Kluyveromyces lactis: one gene and its partner. The protein of the gene in region 2 interacts with the protein of the main gene of each other region in a biochemical or structural test. Links are inferred from orthologs where the notes say so. Each region holds a gene or a part of one and is shown on either strand. Other genes may lie near its edges.

Region 1 (3,362 bases), on a different chromosome or scaffold from region 2:
TAATAATAATATTAATGGTGATGAAAACGGTAACACTGATAACTTGCGATATGAACAAACTCATAAGGTTCATGAAAATGACCCAGAATTTGTACATACCTCTTTTGCAGAATATGATCTTAGAGCTAGATTTGAAACCACCAACGAGTTTTATTCTTATGTCATCAAAGATCCCTTCTACCATTATTTCCTTGTATCCCAAATCTTAACTGGATCAAAACTCATCAAACTTGATCCAGCAAATTCGTCACTTTGGTTCAGTTGCATATTAGAGGCAAGCAATGCTTTGCAACCGTTATCGGTTGAAGGAATCGTAGATAAGATAAGAAATGAAAGATCTGACAGCCCAACTAAACTCATCGATGATATGCTCAGCCTTTTGCCTCCACAAGATAAGATGAGAACCATCTTATCACATTTCTATACCAATGTTCATGGCCCATATCCAATTTTAGACGTCAATGAGTTTGAACAACTATACCAGATGATTATCGAACAAAGGCAATACTATTACGATTTACAAACTAGTCTGAAGTTCCTTACAACTTTAATGATGGCACTAAGATTAGGTTACCTATCGTTATTCTCGTATTTTACGAAGTTCGAACCTAATCATGCGTCTTTTAAATGGTGTTTACAATATCCGATCGAAGATCAACACCTTAAATGCTTATCGCATTGCATCCATTTCTTAAAGGATAACGAACAGCTTCAAGTACAAACGCTTATCCTGTTCAGGTTGATGCTATTATTAGAAGATCACGATGATATGTATTCGGTTTTCGGATGGAGTGATGGTGAACTTTGTAAGATGATCAATGATATGGGGGTAGCAATCAGAGATGAAGATTCGAACATGTGGATGCTTGTTTGTTGGAACAACCTGCACTATATGCTTTTATGTGGTGCAGTGCATGATCAATTTGACAATTCTGTGTTTTATGATGATGCCCATTTGTTGGATGATTCACAGACTTTGGAAGAAATCATATCTTTAGATGATATAGGGAAACACAATTTAGAGATTAAGCACATTTTGAAAAAAGGTTATCAATTGTTTAAGCTAATCATCAGTAACAGAAATATGGAGCGCACATTGGACGATGAACAGTTTATACAGTTCAAGATCAATGAGAATAATGGACTCAACTTGTTTAAATTGACACAACCTTCGTACGAATTCTCCATTGAGCAGGAACAAGAAATTGAAATTCTACCAGGTGTGCCAATAAATATCTCCATATTCAATGACTTCAATAAATTCAAGTGGGGCTATTTCTTCAAAGTCAAAAAATTATCGAACCAGTCACTATTGTTCTTCCACTTTGAGAGAACACAGTCTCCACTATTCTGGAGTCATTTGTTCTTCACATTGACTGCAGCAGTGGAAATAGCCAAGTCCTTTGTAATGGGTTTGCAAAGTCTAAGGCTAATGAAAACACCTTCGAAGTTCGTCGTTTCCCACGTTATTTGTCTGGTAACTAACAGAACATTGGCTGTATTATTTGGACTAATAATAAGATTTCTGTATTTCAAGCTGAATTGTAGAGATCCAGAGCTAGCAGCACTTGTCAGAGAGATCCTTCTAAAACTGTTCTCCATCTTGAAAGATGTTGTGAATTGTGCCGACATAGACATTTATCGACCAAGAACGGTTGGAATGGCAAGGAATTTAATCGAATTATTCAACCTGGGTAAACTAGAACTTTCTCTTACATCTTACCTCAACTCTTCTAAAGAGGAACTCCAGCAGTATCATAGCAACACTGTGCAAAACTCAAGCTGGTCTGCCCATGTAAAATTATCACCTCCATCAAACCTGAAAACGTACAGTAAAATGATTATGACAATGACTGCTTATAATGCAAAGGAGGTACTCAACGTACTGTCTCTTTACGACAAAGACCCATCATTATTCGATGGTTTCTAATACCCTGTTCTTTAGGTATCAACCTTGGGTGTGCTAGTTGTAAAATGTTACGACTTAACGATACTATTAATAGTTGAAATCAACCGAACCACACATAACTTGTAAATACTGTCACGAGTTCAACCGAATTTCTTTGTATAGAATATAAAAAAGTCTGTCGCCAGGCAGCAGTAATGATAACGTTACCTTTATTGATCTTATTTCTATTTTGAATCACAGCACTATTTTCCAGATTTATATTTTGCATTGAGATCAAAGGGAAATGAAAATCCATAGATAATATAACAAGAAGTAAAAGCCAATCTGTGAATTATGAACAGCAACAGGTGAAAGCGAAACGTAACCCATCCTTTACAAACGTTGAAGTATTCTCGAAATTGAAGAATACAGGGGAAAACAAACAAGCCAACCGATCCAGGTGAATATTGATTCAACGGAACATGTCGACTATATATCATTTTAGTAATGAAACTAAGAATCAAATCAAAAAATTCAGAACAGCGACTGCCAGGTCGGATGACATACAGATCCAATCCATCAAGATTCAACCAAAGCCATCTTACGAGATCATAATCGATGATGACGAAGATTTAGAAGATTTCAACCGGTTGGAAGATTTGGCTGAACTACTGCCTGATAATATGCCGAGATTTGTGCTTCTATCCTATCCAATGACCACAAGAGATGGAAGGAAAAAGACCCCGCTCGTATTGCTGTATTGGAAACCAGCCACTGTGGTATCACAAGAATGGAAGATGCTATATGCAGGTGCTTTGGAAATGGTGAGAGCAGAATGTGCAGTTAATAAGTACATTGAGGTGTCATCCGGACTAGAAGATGAAGACGATATAGAAGAATTGAAACAAGAGATCGAAGCTAAGTAATAACATACTTTTGCATGCCTTCTTTAAGTTGCTACAAATTGGGTAGCATCAATTAGTTAAAGATGTATGCCATATAATTCCGGTATTTCACAACCCATATTCAATCTCCTTATGAGCCAAGGGTTCATTGACAATACTGTGACACCTGTCCTTTCATTGGCGTATCGTTTGTATCGATCTTGAGGTAGCAGCTTGATGGAGGAGAAACATAAGTCACGTGAACAGAGTTCAACCAGGACTGCCAAAATAACACCAGTACACCATCAATATAAATATATTCGCAAGGAAAGAATTTATCATAATGATTTCCAAATAGGGCAATAAAGTATGCAGAATATTTTGAGTATTTTTCAGAACAGCTATCTCGAGAACGTTTGAAACCTTCCATAACTTTAATATAACGATATCAGTGTTATCTTACTTTATAATTGTTCAATTGAATGTTTATATCTAATTTATTGCATTTCAAGTGGTACATCACAGCAACCAATCAACACCGTTAAGAAAATCAGTCAAAATGGGTCGTATGCATTCTAAGGTACGTTAAT
Region 2 (4,050 bases):
AATCGTGAAGAACTCTACACTCAATTACAAGGTAACGTTAAGATCACTTTTCCCATCCAATGTCTCTGCCAAAGATGTAACAGTTAAAATACCTGTGCCCCCAACCACGATTAAATGCGATTTTAACGTCTCTGGAGGAAAATGTAAGTACGATGCCGGAGAAAAATGCATGGTATGGAAATACAACAAATACAAAGGATCTACAGAAAATACTCTGAGCGGTAAGGTGGCAATCCCTGCTACTTCCCACGATCTATCTGATTTGTTAAGATGGTCAAGACCGCCAATATCAATGGGCTTCGAAATTGTAATGTTTAGTAATTCCGGACTTGTGGTGAGACACTTGAAATGTCAAGAACCACAATTGAATTATCAACCGGTGAAATGGATTAAATATATCTCACATTCAGGAGCATACGAGATAAGATATTAGTCCACTGAGTGGGATGACTTGTCCCTATAATGGTGTCTTCATATTAATGTGCAACGAATTGGTTTACAAAAGTTTACCCGGATATGTATATATTATTCATGTTTTTCCTATTTAAACAATGTAGTAATAATATTCCAAAAGTTTAAAGGAACAGAAAGCAGATTATAAGTCATCCTGCGATCTTAGTATGGGGTTTGCGATGATATAGACAATTTGGCCTTTGAAATTCCTATAAAATTCCTTTGTAAATTAAGAAGCTTCATAGATTTCAAGACTATGAAGACATTTTGCATTACCAGAAGTAATCGCTTATTGGTATAAATCTGAGAAAATACAATTCCGCACATCAGACATTGTGATATTCTTCTGTGAGATGCTTCCCCTAAATCGATTTCAATTGTGCGTTAAATCACAGATTGGGCTGCGACCATTTCAATCCTTGACAAAGTTAAAAGCATACAGTCCTGCTAGTCATGGATGTGTCAAGACGGGTCAGTTTGTGAATTTGGTGCCACGGTTCCCACTCCTGGCAGCTTTGAATCCCCGGATGAATCTTTTACATTATAACCAGAATATTTTGGTCTCTCCTGTGAAGATGGCGCTTCGAAATTTCCATTCTACGCCGAGAAACATGGTACTTGGTGGACGGGATCCTTTCAGAAAAAGTCCCTTTAACAATCCCAGATTTATCTTTTCAATCAGCCCTTTTTCCTTTATTCTTTCCACGTTACTGTTCGCTGGATTCATAACAATGATAGTATTTGTTTTGCCTTTCTTACTTGCTTTGCTTTTCCCGATGGTGATATTTGGAATAGGGTGGTATCAATTCAAAGCTTTTAGAACCAGGAAACTTATGCAGCTTTTGGATCATGCTTTCAATCAAACTAAGATGAAGCTTTCATCCACCACAAGGAGAGAATTGATAATGAAGCAAATGGTCCCAAAATTCAAGTCATTTACCCAGCTAAAGGACTTCAGCGGATTCCCCTTCAAGCTCTCTCAAGCATTTACAGATAAGTTTCAATCGGGAGAATTTCCCAACGCAGACAGATTTCTTTCCTTTGTGAAATCGAGATTAGATGAGAGTTTCTATAAAAACGAACACAACATCAAATCCATAGTTTTAGGAAGTGATACAGCTTATGTTCCAGGACACATGGAGTTAGTAACAAACTCGTACTCTTTTGTTTCCAGCGTCAGAAATAACGAAAACATCCAAGCTTTTTCATTTATGCTATTGAACATGGGTTCTGAGGGAGTCCGTAAACCAGTTGCATTGGTTTACATCGTTACAAAGGCAAACCCAGGGGACGAATTGTTGATGTTCACTGGTGACTACATTGATGATTCTAAGTTATCCCCGATGGTCATCTATGTACGTGCTCTCAGCCCATTTTCGAAATGTTGCTTCATTACAGACGTCGGAGAAACTGGAGCAAATGCACAATATAGTGTAAAACGAAAAAAGGACGGCAGTAAAGAATACACGTACGAAAGTGATTAAAAGAACTAACGCCCTCACCTAGGTACTGACATGACATTATTAAGAATCATCACTTCACAAAATCTATTTAAGTTGACACAAACCGTCACAATTTATACATATTCATCAATGAAATAAAAAAGATCATATAACACATATCCAAGCAAACTATAAGATTCATTTGAACCATATGAAAACATGCTTTACATGTAAATCCAACGATTTAGCGGCTATCTTGTGACGTGCCAATAGCTTTATACCTCCTGGATAAATTCTATATGGACAAACATGATCACATGATTTACGTGAAAAACGACATCAACAACATTGGGAAATAGGAGATGTTCTTAAAGAAAGAGAGGAAATAAAGGTTTATTTCATCAGATTTAATAGTGGAACTGGGGTAATTAAATCAAACGGACATTTGTGAGCATCTTCAACCCATTAATAAAGCGAAAATGGACCCACATACTCCAATTGTTCTTGATCAGGGTACTGGTTTCGTGAAAATTGGCCGTGCTGGTGAGAACTTCCCAGATTACACCTTCCCATCCATCGTAGGTAGACCGATTCTTAGAGCTGAAGAAAGAGGTCATGCTTCTACCCCATTGAAAGATATCATGATTGGTGATGAAGCAAGTGAAGTTCGTTCATATTTACAGATTTCGTACCCAATGGAAAATGGTATCATCAGAAACTGGGCAGATATGGAATTACTATGGGATTATGCTTTCTTTGAGCAGATGAAATTGCCAACTACATCCGGCGGTAAGGTACTACTTACCGAACCACCAATGAACCCCATTAAAAACAGAGAACAAATGTGTGAAGTTATGTTCGAGAAGTATGATTTTGGTGGCACATACGTTGCAATTCAAGCCGTTCTAGCTCTATATGCTCAAGGTTTGTCGTCGGGTGTCGTTGTTGATTCCGGTGATGGTGTTACTCACATTGTTCCTGTTTATGAATCCGTTGTTTTGAATCATTTGACAAGAAGGTTAGACGTTGCTGGGAGAGATGTAACCAGACACTTAATTGACCTTTTGTCTCGCCGCGGTTATGCATTCAACAGAACTGCCGATTTCGAAACTGTTCGTCAAATTAAAGAAAAGCTTTGTTATGTATCTTATGATCTAGACTTGGACACAAAATTAGCAAGAGAGACGACTACTCTAGTGGAATCTTATGAATTACCCGATGGGAGAGTCATCAAGGTTGGACCGGAAAGATTCGAGGCACCAGAGTGTTTATTCCAACCAAGTTTAGTTGATGTCGAACAACCAGGTGTGGGTGAACTTTTATTCAACACAATACAAGCAGCAGATGTGGATATCAGAACATCACTTTATAAAGCTATCGTCTTGTCTGGTGGTTCATCCATGTACCCAGGTTTACCTTCAAGGTTGGAAAAAGAACTAAAACAACTATGGTTTACAAGGGTTCTACGCAATGATCCCACACGTTTGGATAAATTCAAGGTCAGAATTGAGGACCCACCAAGAAGAAAGCATATGGTGTTCATTGGTGGTGCCGTCTTAGCGAACATTATGGCCGATAAAGACCACATGTGGTTATCGAAGCAAGAATGGCATGAAATAGGTCCTGCTGCAATGTCAAAGTTTGGACCAAGATAAATGAATGATTAAAACTCTTATATAATAGTACATTTGTATTACGTAGGTAAACTTATTAATGCACCCATAGGTTCATTTGCTGGCTTCTTATGGGAGCACAGCATTCATATGTTGCTTCTTTATTCAATGCAGGAAAAAAAGCCATAAAGACGGCATGTCAGAAGTGCTTTATCCCAGTACTGCCCTCAGTGCAATAGATTAATCTATAATTTAAATTCAGCTAGTTTGTTCCAAACATCTTCAGATAATTCTTCCACACGCTCATTATTGACATGTTTTTGATCGCAACCATAGTTTACTGCATTTTTTATCAAATCATGTATGAAGAATTTTGTTACGGTGACAGGATTAATTAATGCACCACTTAATAGCTGGTCAATTGTAACACGAGATATGGGATTTCTTTCCAAACATGATCTTATAGTGTCAATAACAGTTCTTGGTATCACTGTACCGAAAGAGTCTTTTTCAGGATAAGGAATCTTAACATCAGGATTCAT

The links. The genes of interacting proteins can lie anywhere in the genome.
Region 1: the proteins of ARP2 (region 2) and AIM7 form a complex in vitro, tested with the Saccharomyces cerevisiae proteins (2 studies listed by BioGRID). The link is inferred for Kluyveromyces lactis from reciprocal best matches to the Saccharomyces cerevisiae genes ARP2 and AIM7.

What each region holds. Positions count from the first base shown.
Region 1 is NC_006042.1:1,650,599-1,653,960, reverse strand, and holds AIM7 (Aim7p), read left to right. Parts: upstream 1-2,370; coding exon 2,371-2,814; downstream 2,815-3,362. Other genes in the region: KLLA0_F18084g (uncharacterized protein), read left to right, coding at 1-1,930; RPS13 (40S ribosomal protein uS15), read left to right, coding at 3,332-3,352. UniProt on the Saccharomyces cerevisiae protein: May be involved in mitochondrial organization and biogenesis.
Region 2 is NC_006039.1:351,272-355,321, reverse strand, and holds ARP2 (actin-related protein 2), read left to right. Parts: upstream 1-2,374; coding exon 2,375-3,550; downstream 3,551-4,050. Other genes in the region: APM4 (Apm4p), read left to right, coding at 1-433; MRX9 (Mrx9p), read left to right, coding at 807-1,937; serine/threonine/tyrosine protein kinase MPS1, read right to left, coding at 3,754-4,050. UniProt on the Saccharomyces cerevisiae protein: Functions as ATP-binding component of the Arp2/3 complex which is involved in regulation of actin polymerization and together with an activating nucleation-promoting factor (NPF) mediates the formation of branched actin networks.